Tribolium castaneum: one gene and its partners. The main gene of each other region encodes a partner of the protein of the gene in region 7 in a complex. Links are inferred from orthologs where the notes say so. Each region holds a gene or a part of one and is shown on either strand. Other genes may lie near its edges. The genes, in order: Brd8, rept, PHD finger protein 12, Eaf6, Ing3, Tip60 and MRG15.

Region 1 (4,712 bases), on a different chromosome or scaffold from region 7:
TAAAATCAAACAGCTTATCCGAATACCGCAAAACGTAATGCTAATCATCCTTCCTTTTCTTACTCCTGGAATTCTCCTCATTACCCCTCTTCCTCTTACACCCTGGCTCACTAGTCCTAGTTTCCCTCCTAACAGGCAAATCCTGCGATTGCGCTTGCAACAAAATCTGTATTTGTTGCATCGACTCTTGTTGCATTTGTCTCGCCATATTATAAACCGTATCATTTGTTTTATTATACATAATTGCATTATTAAGCATAAGAAGGACGTCTCTTTGAAACTCCTGCGTTGTTCTTATAGCCCCATTCTCTATATTCTTTCTAATCGTCAACAAATCCATGGGTCTATACACCACACTGTGATACCCTGGAGCTTGGTCATCGGTGATCGGTTTAGAAAACAGTGACGCGTATTTATTTGCAGCCAATCTACTATACACAAGCATTATAGACTTCTTCCAATTGCGATACTCCCGATCATCATCGTAAAAATATATACTGGAAACTGGTGATCCTGGAACTGAATCAATCGGAGTCGCAGGAGTTGAAAGTCGCCTCCTTGTCCGTATTGTAGACACATCTTCCTCCTCCGTCCAGGGACTGTTAGATCTTTCATTCTCGCTCTTAATCCGCGATTTGCTGTCTTTACGGTCCAGTTCGCTGTAATCCCGGTCAGAGAAACTCTCTTCAACCAACTCACTTTCGTCTCTTTGCGCCTTTTCAATGGCCAAGAGAACATCAAATTCTTTATCGTCCTTCTTCTTCGTCCTGGAATAATCGCGCTTTGCTTTCCCGGTCTTGTCCACTTTCACTTCCATATTGATATCGTCGTACAATTCCTCGTTATAGTCGGAAGTCAATGTGGTTGACTCGTCCAGTTTCCTTTCGTCTTTCTTCTCAATCTCTACACTAGATTTTTCATTTTCTGAAACTTTGGCGTCTGTTTCTGATTTTATTTCCGCAACTTCTGTACTTTCCCCTGCTGTTTCTTTCTTTGGTTCCGCTTTAACGGAATGGGCTGGATCTTCAGTTTTATTGACTTCCTTGTCAGTATCCTCATCATCCATAACTACAACTTCTACAATTTCGACGGATCCAGGAGTTGTGCTTTTATCTTTCTTATCGGAATCATCAGTTGGTTCGTTTTTTACTTCTACCAGTTCATCCCGAGATTCTTCGCCATTTGAAGTTAAGTGTTTATTGTCTGAATTTGGGGCTTCGTCAGTAGTTTGTGACCGATCGTCGCTGTCCTGTGCTACCATAGTTTTAGAAGCGTCTGTTTTCACGGCTGTTGCAGGTTTAGCGGGTTCAAAAACTTCCGGATCTTCTTGGAACTCAAACGGATCTATTGCCGGTGTTGTAGTTTCCGTCCGTTTTTCTGTTTCTTTGGTTTCGTCCTTCATATCAGTTTCACTCTCTTCGAAATCTTCCAGTTCCAAATTTAGATTAAGATCACCGTTTCCATCCAGTTGTAGATGCTGTTCCGGATCTGCAACTATATCCTGCGCGTTCTCAATCAAATCGGAGATGATAACATCAACGTCATTCTTTATTTCTGGAAGTGGGCCATTCTGGATCAAGATACTGCTCGCCAAGTCATCAATTTTCAAAATTTGTAGATTGGCATCATCGAGGATATCGTTAGTATTGACATTCTGTTGTTGGGTTTCTTCTCCGGTTGGCTCTTGTCCTATAGCTGTACTAACCAAAAGTTGCAATCCTGGAGAAACTGTTTCTCCAGTTGAGGAGCTTAAAAGACTGGCAATCATGGGGCTAGTAGTTGTGTTGGTTGGCCGTTGGTTGGTAATCGCTGAATGCAATATTGAGGAAGTTGTAACGTTTGGAACTTGTGATGGTGATTTCAGAAGACTTGTCAGAAGTGGCGATAGGGCCGGTTTAGGGGGCTCCTGCACTAGGATTTTCTGTTCTTCTGTTGTATTTTCCATCTCTGGGATTGTGTCCATAGCTTCGGAATTTTTACGTTTTTGACCAATCACCGGGGATGGCTTAACTGGTCTCCACGCTCTTTCTATTTCCTGTTTTCGTAACTCCCTCTCCTTTAGCCACTGTTCGTGTGCCAGGGCTTCTTGTTCCTTCCTGTGTTCCTCTTCATCTATTTCCTTACACCAAATATCCAGTTGTTCTTCACTTACGTTACCTTTAAATAAAACAATTAATTATCAAAAAATACTTAACCGAATTTCCGCAACAGTCTTAAGTTTGAGAGGCTCTAATATAGCCCCTGTAACTTCAAACAACTTTAATTTAATTGTGAATACCTGACTGAAGCAGAGCTTTATCTCTCTGCAATTTCTGATATTCTGCTTTTTCTTCCGCTAGTAGTCTCTTGAGCTCAGCTTGTCTCTCGGCCAAAAGTTTGCGTAGAATGACTTCGGCGGGGGTTTCGATAGTGACTTCGCCCCCAGACGTTCTTTTCTTCCTCTTAGGTGTTTCAACATTCGCTAAAAGAGCCCCATACTGGGCTGCACAGTTCTTCTGGTGGAACCAATCAGGGGGTCTGTTGGGTTCACCAAAGGGTTTTAAAGCTCGGCTCACACTTGTTAAATTCTGGTCCATGTTACGAGCCACTGCTAGAGCCAACTGTTCACGGATTGACCATTTATCCAGCGGTTCACGCTTTATTTGTAAACGTTCTTCAATTGAACTCATTTTGAGGTTATGTTGGCCCGAACGTCCAAAAATCAAATACAAGAACCTTGCCAGGAAAGTGACTAATAGTATCACTGAATAAACATTCTTGAAGTAGAAATTCGCACACAAGAATTATCGTTATAACAAGCTTGAACGTTGTTTATATTTGTCAACTGTCAAAGTGTCAAACCTGGACAAACTATGCAGAAGTTTTGCCTGATTTTTAAAGAAAGTCAACCACAATCAGTGTAAGATTATGTAATGTTTCAAGCACACTTGTCTAAATAATTTCGTAAGATCTTATTATTCATAAAAATTAATAATCTTGAAAATTTCATACGCAGACATTATTAGATATTACGTACAGACCGTGATTTTTGACGAGGGCTTTTATGATCGAAAAGTATTAATTTAATGACTGTTTTTTAATTAATTAGTGTATTTTGGGTGTAGCTGGTTTAATGTTATCAAATACATATAGATTGTGGCCACCTTTTTGTATTTGTCGAATTTTATGGCATATTCTGTTATTAAGTATTTCGGTAGCTTGCGCGGTAGCTACTTTAGTGGCAAGTTGTCAAATTTTTAACCTCACTTTCTTGCGAATGGAATGCAATAAAAAATGTTTTTTTCGAATGCTTTGGAAGCTGTTTCTGGTGGTAGCTCCACCCAGTGTCCCAAAGTGAAGTAAAAAAAGAAGTTGTGAGTGTATACATAACAATCAAATGTAAGGATACTCTTTGAAAAAAAAAAAAAAGGTGGAAACAGTATTCAGAATGGCCCCCGAAGGGCGAATCAGTTATTACATCGACAAATATGGAGTGTTTCATAAAAGTGGTGGAAAAAACGACAAGCCGGTGAATGCACCAGCGTTTGAGACAAGTGTGACAAGACCTTCCTCAACTTGGCTGCGTCTGATAATAATGTTTTGGAATGCAAGAGTTATGAAAGCGGCTTTTCGTTTTGGCGTTGCTGCAATAATCATGAATCAGTATGAGCGTCTGGGATTTGCGGTCCTCTTACTGTGTTTCACGCTATGATAGTTTACTTTGTAACATAGTAGTTGAATAAATTTGTTTGAAATGTTTTTGTGTGTTGAAGGAAATGCGGGCAAACTGTAAAAATGCAGCTTTATTCAATTATAAACCAAATTATAACAACAGTTAAAACATTAAATAATTTGAGATTACTCTAATAGTTGACCAAGAGGGTAGCGATGCGCAATTTAAAATAGGCACTTTTCTACATTTATTTACATGATTCTGAAAAAAATCCCTACTTATAAGGTGAATATGACTGTGAAGGAAATTTTCAACAAATCGTAATTTTGTGAATAAGAAATGATTTTGTTAAAATCGCTCTCATCGTCAAAAGCATTTCCCAAAGTTACGTCACCTAATTTGATAACAGCATGAGCACTTTCGGTAAAAATATAACAGACTTCGTTACAGAATTGCAGTTTTAACCCCTAAAGTGTGTGTAACTACATCCTTTACAACTAAAACACTTCATATACTCTACTCTCATTACGTAACAAAGCAATATTTATAATTTCAGTCTAGGCTAGGATTCATCATGGCAAGAATTTGTGAAACCTATTTTAACATAAATTATATGATATAATTGATATTCATTATTCTTTTACATTCTACTTATAAATAGGTACTCTATGAATGTTGCATCGTGAACGGATGAAAATAAAAGCATGTCAATGTACACTTTTCTATTGCTATTTTATGCTATTCAGACAAGATGAGATCATCCTCCCTGCTAATTCCATTCTTTTATCACTAAAAACTCACTTAACTAAAAATAAATTAATCGTATCTAAGCTAGTCAATTCACTGATGCAACATAACTAAATTAACACATATGCTTTATTTAATAGTTCAGTCAACTACTTAATAAAAAATCACTGTACAATATTAAAAACAAACGTCATTATACAATTTACAAACGAAATAGTTTCATGTGGCATAAAATATACATATAACGCGACAAATCTACCTAGAATGGTAACAAAACAATCGTGGATGATATTTTTGATTTTTATTTTTACAT
Region 2 (2,815 bases), on a different chromosome or scaffold from region 7:
TATTTTAATTTTTTTAATGAATTATTTCCTGTGGCTAGTAACATTGTATCGTATGTTTTAAAACTACAATAATTTTTCTTATAAAAAAATTCTGAAAAAATATACATGTATACGAAAAATATAAATAGCATATTCTGAATTCTGCATGATTGTTAGTTTTTGGGAAATAGTAAAAATAAACCTTGAGCAGTTTTATTTTGTAAAAAGAAAAAAATATACAAAAACTAGATCAAAATAAGAAAAAAAAAATATAAAAAATAGATCAAAAAAAAAAAAAGAAATTGGAATTAAAAATTAAAAAAAATAAAAGAAAATAAGAAATTTCTCGCACTTGTCTTTGTGTCCTTATTTTGCCTAGGGGATAAAAATTCCCCTAGATCTACGTCTGGCAACCCTGATTTGGGCAAAAACTTGACATTTGCGGGTCATTGACCCGCCAAGTTGCCAACATTACAAAGATGTTTCAATCAAATTCCTCAATCGTTACGTAATTTCAACATTCCCTATGTTTTTTCTTAAATTACGCACTTAACTGGATTAGAAAAATGATTAATGACCCAAAACTGGGTTAAGTTCTTTGTCATTTCGTGCGACTTTACAAATTAAACACATGTTGTAACACGTCGTAAGGTCGAAAAATCATAAAACAACTTGTTAATTAAATATTTTATTCAAAAAATACACAAACTTACATAATAACGGAATTATGTAAACATGTCAAGTGTGACACTTTGATTCGAGAAGATTAAGGAAACGTCAAAAATTTGACTCGAAATTGCCGTTTCCCCCAATTATTTCGCATGAAACAACATCATGGAAATTTCTCAACACACACCTGAATATTTCACCATTCACCCGATCTAGAACGCGATGCAATTAACTAAAAAAAAAAAAACCGAAAAAAATGGCGGGAAATCCAACTGTCAATAAAATTCCCGGGTCAAGTGTCACAAGGCAAAGGTAACGCGATTAAGTCGTGTCCATTTCGATCGCGTCATCTGGAAAACAAAAAATAACAATCGCTGCCTCCATCTCACTCCAACACACCTTCATTGAACATAAACTCCTGTTGGTACTCCTTGAGAAATTGAACCGAGCGCCCTTCATCGAAAAACAATTGATACGCCCTCTTGATGTCCTCAACATCGACTTCGGGGGCTTTGCGCTTGCGCGCAATTAAACTTGACGTCATGATCAACTGCATGCCGTAGCGCAGTGACGTTTCTTTCGAAATTCGTGTCAAAACAGTCAGTGCGTTGTCAGACATTTGACAGTCTTCCTCCTCGCAACGGATGCTCAAAATCTCGCGCAACTCCTTCTCATCGTAGGGTGCCGTGGGCACGATGATCATGCGATCGAGCAAATCGAGGGGAATCCCATGCGGCGATTTGTAATTGGTGCCACGGATGCGTGTGATTCCCCGATTGGTCGCCATGATGACAATCGGCGCCATTTCGTTTTCGAGCGCGCGATTCAAAAACGAGAAACACTCGATATCGAGCATGTGGACCTCGTCGATGAAAAGCACCCCGGGGATCATTTCCGCCTTGCCCTCCTCGCGCCATTCGGCCACTTTTCCGTTGATTTGCTCGCGAACTTCCGGCTTGATTTCGCCGGTGTCGCCTGAAAGTCGGTAAAGTAGGGAACTTTAAGCGGCGATTGGGTAATTACCCGAAAAAAGGGCGAGGAAGCCGTGCGTGCGACTGTTGATGACGTCGATTTCGTGCAAGGTCACTGTGTGAACGACTTCCTTCCGCTTTTGGAGTTCGCCTTCGGGACATTGAACGAAACGAGTTTGCTGGCCAGTGGCGTCGTAGTCTCGGGCACGTGCGAAAGAGCGTCCAAGACGCGATATTTTGCCGGTGGCTTTGTCAATTGTTATCACGTCGCCTGATTGAACCTTCTCTTTCAATAACGAATCGATCATTTTGCCACCGAGGTCGTAGACGGTTTCCATTTCCGTTGTTTTGAGGATTAGTTTACCTACTTTTGTACCAACGCCGGTGGCAGGACGTTCGATTTGTACTTCGACGACTTCACCTTCGATTATTTCGCTCTCCTCCCTTTGGTTGGGGAAAAAAAAGCATCGGTCTCACACTTGATGGTGAAAGTTGGGTGATATTAAGGCGCAATAATGTGGCAAAAAAAGCGTTTCGTAAGGATTGTAATTCAAAGCAAATGATTAAGAACGAACAAAGCGTGGTTTATTATTGAATAGAGGTTTAAAGACGTTTCCGTTTAGGAGAAATCGGAAAAAGAAAAAAAGGTAAACAAAGCACACTATTATAATAAGAGAAATCAAAAATAAGCACAAATTAAGAAAGGAATAAAAGAATAAAGTACAATACAAAAAAAAAATGTTGTAGAAATGAATTTAATAAATAAATCGATACAAAATAACGAAAACGGGAAAAAGAATAAATAAAATATGGACGAAAAAATGTAATTAACAAATGATTATAATAGAAGAATAAAAGGTGAGCAAACAAAAAAATTAATAAAATATATGTTTAATAAAATTGGAAAATAAAAAAAAATCGTTGCAAACTCTTAGGAAAGAGAAAAGGCGAAATAAAAGATAAATGTGAACCAAAAAATTAAGTTAACAAAATTCAAAAGTGAGGTCAAATTATTACAAAAGAAAGAACAAAATAAAAAAATTATAAAATTTTCTTATTCCCTCTGTTTGTGGAGATTGAAAATAACTGAAAAATTGAATTTTTTTTACACTTTTATTGTTTATTCATAAAGTTGAAGTCGCTTTAACTCTTAAAGTTCATAACGTTACTTTAACATTATGAATAAACGGTAATTT
Region 3 (4,623 bases), on a different chromosome or scaffold from region 7:
GCGACATTCGTGGCATTTCTTTGCTGGAAGGAAAATTGTAGCATCTTGTTTTTTCTCGTGGTCTTTGTGGACTTTCATGCTTTTGCGGCCGTTGCGAGAATATGGGGCTTCGACTGAAAAAATTAGATACAACATTTAAAACGCCTACAAAAGTACAAAAATTAAAGTTAAAATTCTAGCAAAATATTTTGTATTTATTACCAGACGGAAAGACAAAGACAAAACTAAATCAATAATCGACGTTTACTTGTGACTACTGAATTTTAAACGCTGAATTACAAATGAGTTTTACGAAACGAGTACACAATAGAATCTGCTGAATAAATTATTTAAGTAAATCGATTAGAAAAAAGAGTAAATTAAAAATGAAAATGAAATCAATAAAACAGGCTGTTATAATAATTGCAACATTGATTTTACTAAGTGAAACGTAACAGTCTTGTTTAATCCATGTTTTCAGAGTGGCTTATAATTATGTAACAACTTAACTCAATTTTTTATTTTATGGATGTTGTTCCTAGAAGAAATCATTGTCTTACAGAAAAAAATGAGCAAAAAAAATTTTTTTTTCATTTTATTTTCAAATGAGACGAAATTTTTTCTTCAATTTTATGTGCTATATTGTTGCTAAGACCTTCAGAAAGTTATGCGATTTGAACATATTTTTTTTTATAGAAAAATCAATCAATTAAATTTTTAACAAGTTTAAACAATAAGCCAATTGTACAAAAATTTGGGAAACCCTTTTGAACTGCACCCTTTTTTCTCGTATTAATAATCGAATAAAAAATTTCTGCAGCAAGGCAATAAAGTTAAATTTTTTATTAATTGAATAATTATTCTTTTGTTGTTTTGTTTTCATTTTGTATCTTTATTTTTATTATTATTATTTTTTTCAAAGTATTCAGGACACATATTTTTTCTTTTACTATTATTTAAAAATTATATTATTTTCTAATATTAATATTTTAAGTTTTTCTTTTCGCATTTATTTTTAGTTTTGGTTTTTTAATTTATTTTGAAAAATGTATGTTTTTGTTTTGTTTTGTGAGAGGTTAGCTAAACTTTGCCTTCTCACATTCTTTTCTTGAATAAAGGCTTTTATTATTATTATTATTATTATTTGTCATTTTAGAGAAAAAGAAATAATCCGAAATTATATGTTTTCCGTTAAATTAATGCCCAAATTGTTATTTTCTTCATCAGAATAAAGCCATTTTAGGTCTTAGACAATAGGTGATAACGTTTTAAGCAAAAAATTATCGAAAATCAAAAAACAAAAACGTTATCTCAAATTTTTATTTTTATCTAAACTATAACATAAATATCGTTTTCAGGTAAAATAAGCCGTTTTCAGACAATTCTCAGAGTTTTCTCATTTTTAAACAAGAAATTGTCCAAAATTAATCGTTTTCTTCCAAACTAATACATAAACCGTTTTTTTTAGCCAGTTTTATGAATTTTTTTTTTTTTGAGCAAAGAATCGTTCGAAATGCGGAGTTTTCAACCAATTCTCTACGTTTCTAAGCAAGAAATTGTCCAAAATGAATCGTTTTCTTCCAAACTGTTTAAGCGATTTTATATTTTTGACTACGATTTTCGTCGTTTTAAGGCAGAAATCTTAAAAAATAAAATGTTTTCAAATAAATCACGTTGTTTTGTTGGATAGAATAAAGCGATTTTAAATTTCCAACACCTGGTTTCGATATTTTTGAGCCAGAAATCATCAAAAATCAAATAACTTCTACAAAATTGTTAATTTTCTAACAGTCTGAAGCGATTTTATTTTTTTAACTGCGAGTTTAGTGGTTTTTATTTTGACAAAAATCCTGTAATATTATATAATGCGTTCAAAAAGACTTTAGATCAACTCTTGCTGTGAAATTTTGAAGGTATGTTGATTTCTTCGGTTACTATATACGTGCAAGTAGCACGTTTGACACTTCAACAGAATAAAACGATAATCTATCAAAGACAATAAAAATCTAGCAATCTAAATTCCACAGCAAGAGTTGATCTAAAGACTTTTTATAACTTGACGCTGTAAAATTATAACATGTGATCGAAAATGAACTGAATTAGAGCAGGCCGTGTCAAAAATTGATTCCTTGTTGAATTTAAACAACAAAAAAAAATCAAAAAAAAAATTGATCTCATGGAAAAAAAGAACAAAACAACCTGAACAAACCTTTATCAGTCCCTGGAAAAATGCACGGTACACTCATACTCCTGGGCAAATCAAACTGCTTGGGATTCATTGAACTCGCAGCCTGAATTAACAAATCCATCGGACTGACTTTCGCCTTTTTGGGGGCTTTCCCCGCCGGCGTGGACGCCGAGCGTTTGTTCCTCGTTTGGGGCGCATTGCTCTTTTTTGCATATTTACAACTGTGACACAACCACTCTCCACTCGGTATATCCTTCTCCTCCAATGGGGGATCACTGAAACGCAACCGTTTAGCCAAAACCACAAACCGGGGCGTCCCCGTGTTACTGGCACTGCAGATGAAAACTCGACGGACACTTGTCACAGCAAATCAAATCGCCCCCTTCGCCGCACGCGTCGCAACTGTCGTGGTTGTGCCCCTTTCCCGGCCGCTTGAAGTACGGGTGCTCCGTGGCGGTGGCCCCCTTGCGCGATTTCGTGTCCTCGGACTGCGGGGGCGCGATCAGAGCCTGGATTTGCTGCAAAAGCGCACACAAAGGCTGCGGAAATCCGCCATTTTGCGCGACTTACGTCCATGAGACCCCCAGATGTGTCCAAATCGTACTCGATTGAAGCCATTGCTGAGGAGAACGGTGGCGTGGGAATGAACTGAGTGGTTTTTCACTCACTCGAGTTTGGTTTTTTCGGTTTTGGTTACATGGTTGGGGGAAAATATGAATGGCACTGAAAACTGCAATTTGGTTATGATGACGGTGAAATGGGGGCGAAACGATCAATCGGTTGAGATAAATTCATTAATAACACTTGAATTTTTACGCTTATTTATAAAACGTTTGGCAGGTTTTTGACAGTGTTTGCCGCGAGCTGTCACTTTTACCGACTTACCGACCGAGCAGCGCCATTATCAAATATTCCCTTCATTCACACGAATAATTAATTATTTTTACAAAAACTGAATTAATTAATTATTGAATTAGTCACGGACTTTGTTTCCAACCACAAGTTTCAATCGCGAGATATTATTCCAATAAAAAATCTCTTCCCTAATGTACTTGCTATTTCAAAACTATAAAAAAGCAATGGCGCATTTACATTTCTTGGGGTCATGTATGTCACAACTAAAAACTTTCTATGTTCAAATCGGGCTCTGGTGATCAGTTTAGTGCCAAAAAAGCCCACTAGTTAGAAGAAAAAACTAATTGACAAGTGACAGTTAATTTTGTAGTTTTGAAACAGATATTATCTTTGTATCGCCGTATAAATAAAACACTGACTTATTGCCACAAAATTTTATTGGAGCAAAAAATACAAATTAACATGAAACATTGGCAAGTGTTCCCATGGGGTCCCAAGCTGGCAAGACGATCGGTTTTTGTTTAAAAACTTCAAGAACATCAACAGGAACATACTTTTTATCAACCACCACTTCAAAAACGTACTCCTTGAACCAGTCAGTACTCATAATCAAGTAGCCTTTTTCGCCACGATCTTCACCCCATGAATTTTCCACACGCAATTTCGTCACTTCATCTTTTTCCTGTCAGAAAAACAATAAAAAATAATGAGTCTGGTCAAAATTGTGCTCTAAGTTGGCCATGTCCAGTGCTGCCAGCTCACAATCATGCCTACTAGATCCGAGCTGAAAAGCTCCTAGATTTCTATTTTAGTTATTTTCCAAGGTTTAGTTTATGGTTTAGACTTGGAAAAACTGCATTTTTGGCGAAATTTTGTGGCTTTTAATAAAAAATTTACGTTTGTAAAGGAAAAACGCACTAAAATACTCGAATAAAAGTAAAAACCTATCGATTTTAAGCAAATTAGCACTAAAATCACCAAATCTCTGGTGATTAAGTGTTGCCAACAGGAAAAATATCGGTGTGAATACAATCTACCGGGTGATCAAAAATATTTGTTTGAGGTGGCAACACTGCCAACATAAAAATCTACTTACGTTCAAGCTCACAGCGGTGAAAACCATCGCATGTGACATGGCACTGTCTCCATAAATCAATCTATCGGCTTTACTCAAAATCGTCTGAATATCCACACCAAAAACCAACGGAAAATTATGACTAAAACCAAAAAACCATAACCACAAACCCAACCAACCAAAAAAAAACCTACATTTTCAAATCTAAAATCCCCTGTTTTCCGGCGAATCGTTTCATAACCTCACACCCAAACCACACTGCCTCGCCATCTTTAATCGACTTGGCCGTGGCATCGAGTAAAAGTTCAACGGGTTGATTGTTGTATATACAGGGACGTCCACCCACAACATTCCCCAGACAATCCACTGTGTATACTTTACCGTATTGGTTAGACGGTCGCGGATCGGTAACTATGCACACTTTATTATCGACATCGAAAACAGGCTTCACATGCTCTTCATAGAACGCTTTAGGTGTTATTGGACCAATGCTGTGATAAGTCTTGTTCTTATCGTAATAAGTGAA
Region 4 (2,766 bases), on a different chromosome or scaffold from region 7:
TTTGCTGCACAGCTACCCAAGTGTCTAGTTTTTTATTTGAATATAGTTTTCTATATTTTTATTTATAAAAATATGTTCACCTACAGTATTGTTTCTTTTCATAGTCCAATCAAATAAAGGTTTAAATCTATTTTTAACCCACAGCAAGAATTGTTGCTAACATGAAAAACCTAAATCAGCCTTATTTTGGTCGTCCCATTTTTTGTCAAAATACCAACGTTGACAAAAAACATCTTTAAAAGATTTTTGAATCAACGGTATAAGGATCAAAGATTGATTTTAAGAATCACAATAATTCCTTAGTTATTTGTGGAGAGAAATGCTTTTACTAAACACGTCTGGCATATTACAAAACCATTTGTATAAGAAACAAGATTTTTCAAATACTTTCGCAAAAAAATTAAACGGATATTCTAATACGCTAATGATCGGATTCTCTCACCTAATAGAAAAAACATAATCCGAAAAAACGAGGTGTAGTAATGAGATTACAATTTCTTTGGAGTTTAGTCGCACACCTTTGTGTTTGTTTTTGACATAAATCTTACACAAGAAAAAGTTTATTTACTTTATACGATTTATAATTTATGTTCGTCTAATTAATTAATACCTTGTAATAATTTCTAACGCAAAAGCGTAATAAAAACTAAGAAAATGACATTTACGAGCAGACAATTTTATAATGCAGCAATGAGTGTTGAAAAGATAAAACAATTTAAAGAAAGTTGAACTTACATAAATACTTAAATTTATAGACACATACACTTACCGTACTTATTTCTTATTTGAATGAAGGAAATCATTTAATTGCTGAATAATTTTATTTATTGTTCCAAACAATTACATCGGTAAAAAGTGTACAATTTCAATATGCAGGTACTTAGATTCCAAACTCACAATTGAAAAACCTTAAAACTGTAAACACACACAAATAGGTTGAGAAAACAGCACAAAAAGTCATCTGTGTCTAGCTTTCTTATTATTAGTTTTTTTAGCACTTGCACTGAAACTTTTCTGTTTGGCCGAAACGTCTCTATTGGGGCTATTTCGATGGTCAAGCCCGTTCTGTACACCATTCAAGGAATTCGTCGAGTGTTTTCCTGCATTTTTCATCCCAGAATCTATATGGTTCGAATTAGGACCTAAGTTAGTATCACTAGAATCTCCATTAGTTTGAGATTCAGTATCGCTGTGCGGCTCCACTACGAGTAAAAAATAAAACTAAAATTACTTGAAAAAGTAACTGCTTGAACGTAATACCTGTACAGAAAAACTAGACGGTTTTAGCAATTTAATTGCCAAATCATTCGGCTGAAAAAATGAACGATGAATAAAAGCGGCGATTTTGTGCAATGTAAGTAGATCGGATCAGTGGCCTTGTAAATTTTTCTGTTAAGGTATTTCCAAACTAATTACTACAAAACGCGTTACAATGACCGATTGTTCTGGCGACTGTTATTACAAAATGTCTACATTCCATCGCCAAAAACAACGTTTATAGACTATCACAAAATTTTAGTTGCTAATTAAGTGAATAGGAGGCAGGATACAATTATTAAAAAAACAAAAAATATGAAAAAGTAAAAGTAACTTTAAAAATGAGAGAGATTCCACGGTAAACAAGCAAATTTTCCGACACAATTAATTTCTAAAAAGCGTTCATTAGAAAAATTATGTTGACATCAATGGTTTTTAAATTGCTGGGGCCATAATTAATTTACGGATTACTTCCGCATTTTTGCCCCACTGTTATTATGTAAATATTTTCCATTTATAGTCATCAAGTTACAGCATGGGAATTTTTTCTGACTTAATTAGAATAACGTACACTAAATTCAAATATGACAGGCGTCAAACGCTACTAAAAATTAGGTATTTATGACCTATTTACCCTTAACTTAAAACTCAATTTTCATTTTTAATTATTTTTTAATATAAAAAACACTGGGGCATTAGAAATTTACTCTTTTTTCAACTTTATATTAAATTCATAATTTTCGATGTTTCTACAGGGTTAGTCTAAAAAAGTATATTTTTAAAGCTAAAATCATAAAGATGAGCGTTTGCTATCAATTAAATCTTTCTACGCATTTTTTTTTCGGAATTTTCCTATAAATTTTTAAAATAAAGTTTAATTAAGCCAATGAAAAAATTTTTGTGCAAAAATAGATAAAAAAAATAATCATCGATTAAGTTAATCTTGGCAAAGTAAATCACAAGTTCAATCTTAATTACAGTTTGATTACAATTAAAAATGTTGGAAAATATGAACAACACAATAATTTTATTTTTTGGTGGCTAGAAACAATTTTTTTATTATTAATGGTTCCCTTCAGAAAGAATATCATTAGAATTTTTTCGTCAGTGACTTAATATTAATTAATTTAAATTATGTATAAAGAACTGCCGAAAAATTCTCTGTGTAATTATTGAGTTTTGAGACACAGGAAGAAAATACTTTTAGCAGAATGACACTGTACGTATACACCTCAATTTCAATTTCAATGCAATATTATTTTGCAAATTCTGAAACTCAAACAAAAACGATTTTTAGAACTAATCCTGAACTAGTACAGAATTTATTTAAAGCCCATGTGTTACAAAACTAAATCCACATAGTTAGGATATTTTTTACCCTACTTCCCTCCAGTTTGGAACGCCCCTGCTCAAAATTTCTATAGTTAATTTTTTTGTATAATCAACTGTCAGTGTCAAAATTCTGATAAAGACTGTAACACCCTAAAAGTTCATGTTCAACCACTTTAG
Region 5 (4,461 bases), on a different chromosome or scaffold from region 7:
GATTTATTGACCCTATGACTTTGCTGATTAATTGCATGGCTTTCGGTGACTCGGAAAAATGGTACGCGTGAGTGAAGGTGGAGGGTTTTTACAAATCCGACCGTTTCACGGCATGCAATTTCGCTTGCATTCAGGCTGATATTTTCGTTACTACTCGTTACCTTCATTAGATTTTAGGTGCGTTTTTAATTAATTATTATTTTTACAAGGAAATATTAGGTAATGTGTGTAAAACTCGGTGCAAATGGTCGCTGTGCATGGAAATGTACATACATATTTCGCAATGTAATATTTAAATTATTTACCGTAAAATTCGAATATTGAGCTGGTTCCCTTTTCAAGTGGGTTAAACTACCGATTCCATTAATTTTCATGTATCAAAATTATAATATCTAATGTGTTTACGCTCTTGTTGCTTTATTTTGTTTTACATTAGACTGGAATTCAGATTTTGATCCTTGCTTATATGTACTTATTATCTGTGTGATTAGTTTATTCAGTTATCAATGTCCAGTAAAGTTAATTAAACGTCTTAAAAAGGATAGGGTAGGAAATGTGTCAAATAAAACTCTGTTCTTGTTCAAGTTTTATAATTTATAAGCGTAATAAATCGGTTTACAATACTATTTAAGAGTAAAAAGTTGAGCATACATAAATATTACATTTTCATAATTACACAAGATCTTAATATTAAATAGGAAATCATTAATCACAATAAAAACACAATGACAGTTGAATACTTTTATTTTTACAACTATTCCGTTTCTGTGGAAAAAACAGATTAAATAATCTCGAATTTCCCTAACATTTTCTCCTGCACAAGCTCACTCATTTCTGATTCTTTTCTCCCGCCTCCGAGAAATTGTTACAAGCCTTTTTAAACTCTCTATCAACACATTCAATTTTTTCGGCTCCCTCTACGTTTCATTGACGCTAAACACTGTGGACAATACCACTTGCCTTTTGGCGGTGCAGTAATACCAACACATGGGTAATGAAACCATTCAGTTGGACACTAAAACAACAATAATAAAACACACCCAGAAACATTTCACAGAACCTACGTCTTCATTATCACAAGCGACCATATCTCCGTAAGAAACCTGATTACAGAGACAATATCTAGGCTCGTTGGGGTCATAAGTCCACTCCCCATCTGTTACTTCCGCGCTTTGTGAAGACACATCTATTGACGGTGATTCAGGGGCGGCACTAGCAAGCGGAGCATTTAATATTTGTTGAACTGTTGTTGACGCCGAAGGTGCGCTAGCACTACCACCTGACCATTTCCTATAATTCAAAATTAAATTTAACCAAAAAAAATGGGAAAAATCGTTACTTTTGCTTCTTCTTGTTATTGGCATGGTCCTGTTGGATGGCTTGAATGGCCGTTTGCGCCGCCCCAGCCAACTCGCGCCCGATACTAAACTCATGACCATGGCTTCCTGTATTTATCGCCTCATACGAGGCCTTAAGACTTGCTGTCCTCCTGCCTTGTTGCATCTGATCAAACAGTATAGTATAAAATATCAAGGTCGTAGAAAAAATAGTGTATGTAGGTCGCACTCAATGGCTATTAATACGACACTCGCCCCGGCTCGTGTCCTAACAGCCACCACTGATTGAATGGATTATTTTTGACAATTTTCTAGGCGAAAAATGGTATAAAATTAGTGATTTTTTACCTGTTGAGTGGCAGCGATGGCCTGTGAGGCCGCAGCCGCAATGGCAGGCCCCGCGCCTATGTGCCCCAAATTATAAGTAACGTTAGACTGAGCTGGGGGCGTTGATTGGCCTATTGAACTATGCCGGGTCTCGACGAGAGGTATGGGGGCAACAGCTTGTCTTTTTTCGGCAAATGAGGTCTGCAAAGAGTTACTACTATCCCGTCTTTTTTCGCTTCTTTGTCGATATCTAAAGCTGCTAGAACTACATTAGCACTAACAAAGATTACGTTCCCATAAATGAAAACCACCTTTCGTATCTATTTTCTTTTTGTTGTTGGGATGAATTTGTTGAATTAACTGGAGTGTCTAACTCCAGTGACCGCTTTTCTAGAACTTCAGTTATGCCCTTATTGTCTGCCTCTAGTTCGCATTTAAATTTATGTAGTTCTGTGTCAAGCCGGCGCAGGTATTTATCAACTAGTTCAAACATTTGATTAGCGAGGTGCACCTTTGATTCAAATTATCATTAAGTGGTCACACAACCCCACAACTACCTTCTCATCTGCGTCCTCGAGCGTCTTTTTGTACTCTTTTTTCACAGCTTCGAACTCGACTTGAATGGCAGGCGGTAATTCACCGGGATAGCGCTTACAATCATTGAAAAAAATTTTCACCCGCTTTTCTAACTCATCCATGTTATCTACAATTAATAATTTATTTAATCAACTCTAACTATCAAACTCTTACTTTGCACTGTTAAGTCTAACTCTCGCATTTCTGTAAACCTGTCCCGTAATTCCTGAGGTAGGTGCTCGATCACTAAAAATTCGAATTGAGCGCCACATTGACAATTGGCGTTTCCGTCAATGCCACGCCAAAGTAACTGATTTACTTACTTTCCAAGTAATCTTCCAGATACAACATTTTGCTGTATTAATGTGGTACGGAATAATAAATAATAAAGTAAATACGTGTTTAATTACGACTTTATTTCCTGATATAAACCCGAAACTGCAAACTTCACACAATTTGATGGAAGGAAACTGCCATTTTTAATTCCAAACGACAACATGACGCCCCGAAAACCACTAACACTCAAGCGCCCGATTCAATTTCCCACAGTCCGAGATGATTACAGGGGCTAAAGGCTTGCCGATACTGCGGCCATACCCCTCAATTTTAAACAAATTCTCAGCCCCTCGCACAATATAACCGAACACAACGTTCTGCATATCCAACTGTTCCATTTTCGTGAAGGTGATACAAAAGCGCGAGTTGTTATCGTGTTTGCGGACACGCACCATGGACAAAACTCCTGAAACAACACTCAGGAATTTTTCGTAAACTAAATTCGGGTTTTGTACCAGGTTTCGTGTGCTTAAGCATGTGGCCTTCCTCTGCAAAGTATTTACCATAGATTGACACCCCACCACGTCCTGTCCCTTTAGTTATGTCCCCAGTTTCCAAAAAACGGCCCGGAACTATTCGATTGATTGGGCAGTTTTTATACGAAAGGTTCTGTTTGTTCTCACCGCAGCAAATTGATAAGAAATTCTGGACTGTGACAGGGACGTGGTCGTGATAAAGCTCGATCTCTACGCGGCCCAGAACTGGGCCATTTAGCACTTGAAATTCCAAAAAACACCTTCGGGGTCAATTAATTAAGTCATTGTTTGATTTTTTTAATTATACCGGGGCCGTTCTGATAATTTCTCAAGTCCGCAACTAATTGACGGCTGTTTTGCAATAACTGAATCGACTGAGACTTTCTGAAGGATGACCAAAGGGAATTTGGAAGTTAGTTTCAATTTTTCAATAATACTGGTCCAGAATTTACGTAACGACTCACAATCGTAACTGGAAGTCTGTTAACTGTTAAATAAAGAAACTAATTTTTTGGGCTTACTGCAGCCATCAGTTTCTCGTATATTGCTTTATTTTTGCGGTCAATTCTCTTCATCCTCATAACGTGAGCGTGCCATTTCGATTTAGACGCATAGGCTTCAGGATTATACGAATCAATTTTTCCCTACGTTAAAAATTCACTTCAAGACAATTAAAATCAAAATCTTACGATGGTCCTATTTATCGTATTTATGGACTTAAGGAGCTGCTTATTCTCCTTATCAATCATTTGTAACCGCTCAGCGTCTGCCCGTAACTTTCGAAGGTTGATATAATTGAACGGATTCATGGGGAGGGGTTTGGTATCAGTTTTCGGTTTCGCTGAAAAAACCTAACGGGAGTAAACCAAGCCTGAAGCTTCTGCTTTTACCTTATATCTGTGTGCGTTATATTCTGCCAAGTCTGTTTTAATGACTTGGGGACTAACCGACCCAATCAAATATCTGGGAATTTTACAAGGCCTGAACACTTTTTTACTTTTCTTCTTCATTTTGATGCGAATTTAGACACTTGATAGCGGAAACGTCCAAAATGACAGTAATGACCAATCGTGGAAAAAATTAAAGAACGACTTGTAAATTTATTCGTATTTACCGAACAATATGCACACATTTTTCGCTTCCGAACATGACAGACACCAATAGCGAGTCCAGTAAGTGTCTTGAAAAGTACGAAAATGTTACGACAAGCGACAAGCGGGATTTGAAACTAAAAGAAGCGGAAAAAACCATCGCCAACAAAGACGTAATTATTAAGATGCTCAAACAGCATGTAAAAAAATTGGAAGAGTCGTATAAACAAAATTTGAAGGAGACTGAAGATTTTCGGTACAAGTTTTGCCTGGCGTCTGAACAGGTCAAAAAGTTGCGGGCAAGCCCGATCAAACAGA
Region 6 (4,431 bases), on a different chromosome or scaffold from region 7:
CAATAATCCTATTTTAATAATTCTGTCCATGAGTACACTGAAGCATGAAAAATAATAATGGTTTAAAAATAAGAACAATAAACAAGTCTTGTGACATGAGAGTCTTTGATTAACCCACATCCTCTCCCATCAGTATTATAAACAAACCCAAAACAAAATATTACACAATAAAACGTACGAATAAACAACGGAAAACGTTTCATTTTTTTATTAATTGAAGATTAGTTTTGCAATCGCAAGTTCATTGATTTCAAAATTCACAAGGTGATGAAAAACGACTAAAACGTTTGAAAAGTAGTCCACTTTAACTCACACTTCGCTTTAATAAAAATAATTCGACGATTTTCAGAGTAAAATCTGACAATTGCGAAACTAGTGAGTTTCTAAATAAAAAATATGCGTAAACGCAAAAATAATACCACTTTCGACTTAATAATATCTTGGACGTAAAATGTGCCAGTAAATACAAACAAAATGCATTTTCGTAAAAAATGTACTACTGAACCCGGTGTTTTCTCCATGTTTCTCCGTCAAAACACAAGTTCGCAGTGTTACTATTATTAAGTGAGGAGGAACAGTGTGGATTGGCAGAGGAATATGTTAATAAAAGAGAAAATGTAAAAAATCATTTATTGATCTACCACTTGGCGCGTTTGCCCCAATCTTTAGGTGTCCAATGCAGACACTTGGGGTCGATTCGGATAAGTCTACTATCCATGGCTTTTTTGTGACTTTGCATAATTTCCTGATTTAACGTTATAATATACTGGCCTTTGTAATAATTGATTAAGTTTAAGTTTTGTAAAGTTGAGATGACGTCTTCTTTTTTAATACTTGTCAACTCACAAATTTCACTTTAAAGTGAACAAACATTTCACAATTACGAAAAATAAAGAAATAATCAAAAATACTTACTTGATCGTTATTTGTGGCTTCTCGTTATCACCCACTGGCTTCATTGATATTAAGATTTCTAAAATAGCTTGTGCCCAGTAACTCCTATACGAAAGCAAACCCAAATCGGAGAGAGGTTTTTCGGGAGAACCCGTTTTACCTTCGAACTTTGATAATTCATAACCTGAAACAATTCGTGAAATTTCGACAACAAAAATTCGCACTCAAACTCACTAAATTCGATTAGTAATTTTCCGTAACCCTTTCGCTGATACGGAGGCATGGTTAAAATACACGCGACGTTAAAATCTTCCGTTGATTCCTTCTCTTTCGAAAAATAGCCAACAATGTGAAACCCTCTATTATCAAAAATGGTCATTACGTAAAACAAAAACGGGTCCGTGTCGTAATACAGTGTTTTATGATCGAGGAACAGCTTCGCCAACAAACACAAATTCTGGGCGTAGACTTTATTTTTCCGCCCGTCAATTTCAAAAAACGAGACGTTTTCCTTGCGATAAATCTCATTTCCGGGCGGGTGTCTCAAATTACATTTGACCAAGTGGCGTTCTAGACACTTCCTGCTCTTTCGGTACTTGAGGCAAAACTCGCAGATGTATATACAGCTCAAGTTGACCATTTCTTGCGGATATGGCGCAAAATACCACGGCTTTATCCTGTGTTTCCCTAACTCGATCATATCGATGTTCTTCATCCTGGTGACCACATCGTCATGGTGCGACACCATGCTCCCAGACTGCCTCGGCCCTGGGGGCATCTGTGTGGGCCCATCTTGCGAGTCTTCGCTCTCAAGAGACGGCCCTTTTCGTTTCCTATTTATGCGTTTTTGCAACGCTGCTGCTAGGACAGCACTGCCGTTGACAAGTTCGGAGGCAGCTGTCACAGGGCTCGAGGGCCTTGATACCGAACCGATGGCACCACCGCCCCCAATGTGAATTTTTTTCGGAGTTGAGACTCCAGTGTTACTCCCGCCGTCACGTCTCGGGAAGTGGACTTTACGAGTGTCGAGCGATTCTTCGGTCACCCATTCGTCCAAACGCTTGTTAACTAAAACCCAAGTTAGTTCACAAGGAACGAAACGGGTGTCCAATCTTACAATCAACGTAATGGACGTAGTACAATTTCGAGCCTTGCACGTCCTTAATACTGATAATTTCGGCCAAAGCTGCAATTTAAAACATAAAAACGTGCAAAATGTGCCAAAGTGGGGCTTACGCCAGTCGGAAGTGCCGGTCATGTGAACCGGGAGCCTGCATCCTTCCACTAACGAATTCTAAAAGTGAGGTTGTGTCAACATTTTGGTTTTGCAATTTTTAATGAAAATATACCACAGAATCACAAATTGTGCTGTCGTCGATTTCCTCCATTTCCACTTTCATCGATTCTGCTTGTTTTTCACAATTTCGGGGGGAAAAATTGTAATTATTGCCGAACAAACCTCACCACCACAACTACCGCAAAAAACATAATGCGCAATATCCATAACGATTTTTTTCCATTGCATAATTGTTATCCAAAATAATGTTTTGATGCGACTTATCTGTATATGCACATTCGGCGAACCGAAACAATACACACAAGTGTCTACTATTTAATAAATTATCATTATCTAGTCATGGGCGTAGGGTGTTGCTCGGGGGTTTCCCCCGAAACCAGCACACTCGATAAAATCACACAATTCCATTCTCAGACTCATTGTTAAATTAACGCCTCACCAAGCTTTGTTCACAAATTGGTGATAACACGTTTGACCTTAGCTTCGCTTGAACGCAGCGTTCTCCTAATCGCAGCCCACAGTTCAAACGGAGTTTCGCCTATTTGCTCTTGGATTCGCAACAACTCGAAGAAAATTTGGACGAACTAGGCAAGGACTGTGCAAAACGAGAAGACATAGAGTCGATTATTTTGCACCACAACCAACTCACAACGCTCCCCAAAAACTTGTCAAAAGTCACAAACGTCCAAGTCCTCCATATCAGCAACAACGGCCTTATGACCTTACCTGATGTTTTCGAGTACTGGCATTTAACAACACTGGTTGCGAAAAATAATCGCTTCAGTAACGAATCCCTCCCGAAAAGTTTCGCTGAGAGTGCGAGCATGCAGGAGTTAAACCTGAGCGGGAATGTTTTCGAACAGTTCCCGAACAACTGTTTGAGTTTACTAATTTAAAGTACCTGTACCTAAGAGGGAATAAAATTAAAACAATACCGAAAAACATAAAGAAATTAAACTGGTAAGTGGGGACGATTAAAACGACCACACGTGATAATGATTGCAGCCTTCAAATCTTGTCGATGGGTGGCAATCAATTAGTGGAAGTTCCTTCAACTCTAGGCCAACTGAAGCAACTGCAGGCTTTGGTGCTTTGCGATAACTTAATCGAGAGTTTGCCGTCAAATATCGCCAATTTGCACAACTTGAAGTCGCTCCAGTTGCACAAAAACAAATTGCGCACTTTGCCGCCTGAAATAATCGCGCTGAAAAATTTGACTGAGGTAACAAATAAATCACCTTTATGTAAAAATAAAATTCGTTCGTCACAGCTGAGTCTCCGTGATAACCCCCTTGTTGTCCGTTTTGTGAGCAACATAACACATAACACGGCTAGTCTGAAAGAATTGTCGGCTCGTGTGATAAAACTTTTCGCACCAAAATTTCACATTGCCAGTTTCTGTTTAAATAAAAATATGCATTTTTATTTTTCCATTGACTGCATGCGAAACTTTTATAATTTTAGACGTTTATAGGCAAATACATTTGTCATAATTAATTTTTCTAGATCAATGCTGTTCTATTTTGAATAATTCTGTGTATGAATGTTACTAAATTTGACGGATTTTGACAGTGAATATTTCTGGTAATGACCTGTTTTAGACTTGTGTGACGTCACATCCGTGACGTGTCCCGAGGTTAGGTGTGCGGCGCAGGCGGCGAGAGCGCTTCAGTCGACAGCGAGCAGCGGCACGGGTCAGATCGGGAGCGGGACCGGGAGGCGGGGCGAAGCGAAGCGAGGTGAGGTGAGGCGGTTTATTTAAATTATTGTGTATTGTGCCGTTTCGTTCAATTTATTCAGTTTGTTACTTGCCGTTGTCGCGAACGGACGTATGTTCAAGCAAATCTAAATTTTCCGGTTTATATTTTAAATTCGGTGACTAGTGATCGCGTTTGAGTGACACATTTTAAATTCAGTAACTATAAGTAAAATCAAAGCACTCAAATAATTTATCGTCGCGTACTGATTTTGTCGTTAATTTCAATCGATGAAAATAAAGTCACTTGCTCTAAATTTAATGCAAATAAACATTTTTTTTTGGTTTCATTTTTATTAATATTTCTTTTAATGCTACAAACGGTAGCCAACGTGGAAGCGATACCCAGGTACGTCCATTTTATTTTTGTGTCGTATTTGTTTATTTCACAAACCAATAATTCCTTAAAATTTAATTGCAATTACAATGTTGTGTACACCGGCTCTAAATGCGGTGTTGAAAAGTCATAAATTGAGTGACACGT
Region 7 (3,503 bases):
AAGAACAACTCAAAGTCAAGAAGGAGAAACAAAGCGAGATTGATAAAAGCATAAACACGTGGCTTGAGAGCAAAAAGGACGAAGTGGAACGCGCGAAAATGGAAGAAAAGATGAAGAGAGACGCCGATTGTGTTTTGTACGAAGTGACGAAGAAGAAATCGGAAGCGCGCAAGCAACTCTCACTCATTTCCGCGCTCGTTAAGTTGCGGACGGTTAGAGACGCCATGGCCACGCAAAGGGGCGACAAGTTGTCGCTGGAGGACAGGCAGGCCTTCGGGCACGTCACGGGTAAAATTGGCCAAACAAGACAAACACTTCTACATAACTAAACTTTCAGAGAAACTAATTCGCATGTGGGAGAACTCGTACCAGAGCTACTGCAAAGAGGAGCAATGCTTGAAAGTGATGCTGGAACACAACGCCAGTAAGGACTCCAAAGCGGCGATCGCCGCCAAACAAACCCGCATTGTCGACGACTGGGAGTCCCTCCTATTCGGCCCCCGAGACCCCCCCGTCAACAACCCCACCTTCTGGGCTCTAACGAGCGCCGACCGCGACTTGGAGACATTTATCGCCATAAGGAAAAGTTGGGACACGTTTCTAAGTCCGGGGAACGCCTCAGGCTCGGCTATTCCACTCGGGTGGGTCGCCCCGCCCGAGGCCCCCAGCGAGAGTTGGGCCCCGTTTTTAAAAACCGACTAATGCTTTTCTATTATTTTTAATAAAATAATCACAATTAAAGCGCCTTGCGGTGGTATTCAGGTGTGGCGTTCCCGTAGTCTTGCAGGCTGAACAATTGGGCGCTGTTTTTGACCAGATATTTCAAGAAATCTTGGATGTTCTGGAGCAGGAGTTGGATGCTGCGTTCGTCGAGGGGCGTGTACGCCAACATGGCCCCCAGCTTGACGAACAGACGGAGCAAGTGAGTGGCACCGTACACCTCAGACATGGGCTTATCGGGGTAGGTTTGCAAGATATCGGCGTACTGGGGCCGCTCGAACTTGTACAAAAGTTGCGTCCCCAACATCACGTTAAAATACTCCTTGATGCCTTTGACGATTTCAATCGTAGCCGACTCTTTGCTGGAATTATTCGACTTGATTGACTTCTTGTAAGCGAGATAGTTGTCCAGAATTTGCTCGACTGTGACTTTTGCCGGCAAATTTGCGAGTTTTCGTTGTCTGGTAATTACGTCCCAGTCGTCCACCAACCAAGGTTTCAACTCGTCAGGGATTTTAACCTTGATTTCAACCTTATTCAAAAATTGCTCCTCGGACTCGACCGAGGGGTCCAACCGCCCCCTTTTCTTCCGGGGCACGTCTGAACCCGAGTCTTGCCCACTCGACGGTGTGCTTATTTTGCTCTTCCCCCCTTTGATCAGTTCATTATTTGGGGTACTAGATCTCGAGTCAATGTCTTTCGTGGCGTCGGTTTTACTCTTCTTGGCCTTTTTCGTCTTGCTGGGTTGAGTCGAGTGGGCTTTTTGCACCTCCTTTTGTCTCGCAACGTTGGCCTCGTTGTATTTGAGGACACGGCTTTCGGGCACCCATTCGTCCCAACTGCAAACACACGACTGTCAATTACAAGGCCCCCCGAAAACACTTACACACTTTTTGTTCCAACCAGCGTAATGGATAAAGTACTTCACTTGCTTGTCCTTGGTTATGGTCGACTTCAGACATTTGGCTTCGTAAATCAACGGGCCGTGGAAGCACAAAACCTTCTCGCCTGGAAAAGGGGTGTTTGGGCGGCTTAAGGGGGCGACCACGTGTCTTACCTTCGGAAAATTTAAACTTGGGGGGCATTTTCGGCTTCAAACAATTTTTTTTGTTTTGACAATTGACAGTTGGTTGTGGCTACCGGCACATTTGTGCCGGTTATAACGCGTCCCGGTGCCTTTATTTGTTATTTATTGTATTTTGTGAAACATTTATTTGCTTGATGATTGATTTGGGGCGAAATTGTGCCAGGGTTAGTTAATTATGATTGATTACAAGCCAGAAGTGGCTACGGTCACGCCATTTTGTCAACATAACCTAGCTTTAGACGGCGTTTGAATTTGGCTTGGAATGGGTGAGTTTGTTTAAATGTGCCCCCTGATCGTGTTATCGTGGGTTTAGAGTTGCAGAAATCGAAGAAAAGTAAGGTTAAGCGGAGGCCCCCTTTGCCGGAGGACGACACCTCCGGTGATTTGCTCATAGTGGACGAGTCTGGTGCTAAAACCAAGTCGCCGGTGAACAAGCCCCCGTCCGCATCGTCCTCTGGTAATAAAAAGCGCAAAAAACGCGACAGTGCCTCAAGTGACGAGGAACGGTGGCTCACTGCCATCGAGTCCGGGAAGCTTGAGGATGTTGACGACGAATTGAAGAAAATCAAGCCGAAGGACCCGGCCTTGATGACGGCGCGACAGCGCGCCATGTACGAGCGTGAGGTGGACGGGAGCCCCTCTGTGACCACCCCCACGTTAATGTCGCTCCCGACTGGATATAAAGTAATTCAGTTTGTTTCAATTCAAATAGTTTAGACTTGTTGGTTTAGGAGAAGGTCATGACGGCCGAAGCGATTCAAAAAGCGGCGATCAAGTCGCAGAAACGCAAACAACTGGCGGACGAAAAGCGCGAAAAGGATAAGAAGAAGACGATGGAAAGGCTGCTCAAAAAGCAGGAGTCGAAGGCGGCCAAAGCGGCGAAAAACAAAATCACCAAAGCGCAAACCCCCATGATTTTGTACCGTCAGAATGTTGGGTTAACGACAGTGTCGTTCCCGCAAGGGATGGACTGGCCCTTGCCGGGGGCGGGGGGCAAAGAGCCCCCGAAAGCCACACTGTGTAGCATGGGCTGTGGCAATGTGAAAAAATACTCCTGTTCGCGGACAAATGCACCGCTGTGCAGTCTAACGTGTTATAAAAGGAATATCGCTAGTCGGATTTTGTGAGGGGAAGGGAAAAAAGGCCAGTTTTGAGTCAGAGATACGGTAATTTATTTGTTTTACATTTGTTGGGTTGTGACTAGGCCACTTGGATGGCGCGTATTAATTTTCGAATCAAAGTGGCCCGAGCCAATCACAGGCCACTTTGATCAGTTATTGTTACCGGAAGGAAACATTGTATGTGACTCTGTCTATCTGACCTATTTTGGCACGTGTGGGGCGCCCCTAGCGGGAAACTTCCCCGAAATTTGTGCATCTTAAACAAATAAACTTTAAGGTACTGTTCGTTTGTACAGGGTGCTGCTTTTTGGGTGTCCGAAATTAAGAGGTTAGAGAAAAATTAGAGACACATTCTCGGGTCAAAACCGCATCTCCCGATCGTCTTTTGTTTTCGACTTATAAACAAAAATTGACATTTTAGCGAAATCTTAAAAAAATCATATCTTTCTTATTATAAAAGATACACGTTTGAAACAAAGACATTATACAAGCACTCTTTTCCGGAGAATTTAGTAATGTTATCAGCGATTTTTTTCAAAAATTCGTTTAACTGTAATAACATAAAGTTGTATTTT

Evidence for each region.
Region 1: MRG15 (region 7) and Brd8 share a complex: the UniProt entries of both Homo sapiens proteins name them as parts of the nuA4 histone acetyltransferase complex. The link is inferred for Tribolium castaneum from reciprocal best matches to the Homo sapiens genes MORF4L1 and BRD8.
Region 2: MRG15 (region 7) and rept share a complex: the UniProt entries of both Homo sapiens proteins name them as parts of the nuA4 histone acetyltransferase complex. The link is inferred for Tribolium castaneum from reciprocal best matches to the Homo sapiens genes MORF4L1 and RUVBL2.
Region 3: the proteins of MRG15 (region 7) and PHD finger protein 12 are in contact, whole or in part, in a cryo-EM structure (PDB 8BPA), measured with the Homo sapiens proteins. The link is inferred for Tribolium castaneum from reciprocal best matches to the Homo sapiens genes MORF4L1 and PHF12. Residues at the interface, in NP_996670.1 of Homo sapiens: Glu201, Lys204, Pro205, Leu207, Val208, Asp209, Trp211, Asp212, Tyr251, Ala252, Glu255, Val256, Gly259, Ile260, Glu262, Tyr263, Val266, Met267, Thr270, Gln271, Leu272, Leu273, Tyr274, Lys275, Arg278, Pro279, Tyr281, Ala282, Leu285, Arg304; in NP_001028733.1 of Homo sapiens: Cys62, Glu64, Gln81, Cys82, Asn84, Pro86, Pro204, Leu206, Arg207, Arg208, Pro209, Phe210, Leu212, Leu213, Ile214, Ala216, Ala217, Arg220, Asn221, Pro222, Thr223, Gln224, Phe225, Gln226, Leu227, Pro228, Glu230, Leu231, Thr232, Thr330.
Region 4: MRG15 (region 7) and Eaf6 share a complex: the UniProt entries of both Homo sapiens proteins name them as parts of the nuA4 histone acetyltransferase complex. The link is inferred for Tribolium castaneum from reciprocal best matches to the Homo sapiens genes MORF4L1 and MEAF6.
Region 5: MRG15 (region 7) and Ing3 share a complex: the UniProt entries of both Homo sapiens proteins name them as parts of the nuA4 histone acetyltransferase complex. The link is inferred for Tribolium castaneum from reciprocal best matches to the Homo sapiens genes MORF4L1 and ING3.
Region 6: MRG15 (region 7) and Tip60 share a complex: the UniProt entries of both Homo sapiens proteins name them as parts of the nuA4 histone acetyltransferase complex. The link is inferred for Tribolium castaneum from reciprocal best matches to the Homo sapiens genes MORF4L1 and KAT5.

The regions. Positions count from the first base shown.
Region 1 is NC_087396.1:10,840,093-10,844,804, reverse strand, and holds the start of Brd8 (bromodomain-containing protein 8), read right to left. Parts: upstream 3,071-4,712; 5' UTR 2,670-3,070; coding exon 2,279-2,669; intron 2,158-2,278; coding exon 41-2,157; 3' UTR 1-40. UniProt on the Homo sapiens protein: May act as a coactivator during transcriptional activation by hormone-activated nuclear receptors (NR). Isoform 2 stimulates transcriptional activation by AR/DHTR, ESR1/NR3A1, RXRA/NR2B1 and THRB/ERBA2.
Region 2 is NC_087401.1:15,894,089-15,896,903, reverse strand, and holds the end of rept (ruvB-like 2), read right to left. Parts: intron 2,064-2,815; coding exon 1,672-2,063; intron 1,624-1,671; coding exon 1,048-1,623; intron 999-1,047; coding exon 970-998; 3' UTR 652-969; downstream 1-651. UniProt on the Homo sapiens protein: Possesses single-stranded DNA-stimulated ATPase and ATP-dependent DNA helicase (5' to 3') activity; hexamerization is thought to be critical for ATP hydrolysis and adjacent subunits in the ring-like structure contribute to the ATPase activity.
Region 3 is NC_087401.1:17,011,352-17,015,974, reverse strand, and holds the start of PHD finger protein 12, read right to left. Parts: upstream 3,067-4,623; 5' UTR 2,786-3,066; coding exon 2,738-2,785; intron 2,686-2,737; coding exon 2,495-2,685; intron 2,443-2,494; coding exon 2,189-2,442; intron 114-2,188; coding exon 1-113. Other genes in the region: bleomycin hydrolase, read right to left, coding at 3,480-3,704, 4,119-4,239, 4,292-4,623.
Region 4 is NC_087398.1:15,243,019-15,245,784, reverse strand, and holds the end of Eaf6 (chromatin modification-related protein MEAF6), read right to left. Parts: intron 1,203-2,766; coding exon 958-1,202; 3' UTR 803-957; downstream 1-802.
Region 5 is NC_087397.1:1,047,524-1,051,984, reverse strand, and holds Ing3 (inhibitor of growth protein 3), read right to left. Parts: upstream 2,706-4,461; 5' UTR 2,592-2,705; coding exon 2,564-2,591; intron 2,487-2,563; coding exon 2,415-2,486; intron 2,368-2,414; coding exon 2,222-2,367; intron 2,176-2,221; coding exon 1,976-2,175; intron 1,930-1,975; coding exon 1,686-1,929; intron 1,504-1,685; coding exon 1,340-1,503; intron 1,291-1,339; coding exon 1,065-1,290; intron 1,016-1,064; coding exon 899-1,015; 3' UTR 574-898; downstream 1-573. Other genes in the region: uncharacterized protein LOC103313454, read right to left, coding at 2,756-2,982, 3,032-3,312, 3,360-3,532, 3,574-3,696, 3,742-3,903, 3,943-4,062; CAP-Gly domain-containing linker protein 1-like, read left to right, coding at 4,200-4,461. UniProt on the Homo sapiens protein: Component of the NuA4 histone acetyltransferase (HAT) complex which is involved in transcriptional activation of select genes principally by acetylation of nucleosomal histones H4 and H2A.
Region 6 is NC_087402.1:5,803,102-5,807,532, reverse strand, and holds Tip60 (histone acetyltransferase Tip60), read right to left. Parts: upstream 2,690-4,431; 5' UTR 2,295-2,689; coding exon 2,244-2,294; intron 2,189-2,243; coding exon 2,131-2,188; intron 2,081-2,130; coding exon 2,012-2,080; intron 1,963-2,011; coding exon 1,129-1,962; intron 1,079-1,128; coding exon 916-1,078; intron 855-915; coding exon 638-854; 3' UTR 617-637; downstream 1-616. UniProt on the Homo sapiens protein: Catalytic subunit of the NuA4 histone acetyltransferase complex, a multiprotein complex involved in transcriptional activation of select genes principally by acetylation of nucleosomal histones H2A and H4.
Region 7 is NC_087400.1:991,158-994,660, reverse strand, and holds MRG15 (mortality factor 4-like protein 1), read right to left. Parts: upstream 1,917-3,503; 5' UTR 1,806-1,916; coding exon 1,778-1,805; intron 1,729-1,777; coding exon 1,611-1,728; intron 1,560-1,610; coding exon 737-1,559; 3' UTR 703-736; downstream 1-702. Other genes in the region: uncharacterized protein LOC657630, read left to right, coding at 1-288, 338-702; INO80 complex subunit B, read left to right, coding at 2,070-2,073, 2,121-2,491, 2,539-2,934. UniProt on the Homo sapiens protein: Component of the NuA4 histone acetyltransferase (HAT) complex which is involved in transcriptional activation of select genes principally by acetylation of nucleosomal histones H4 and H2A.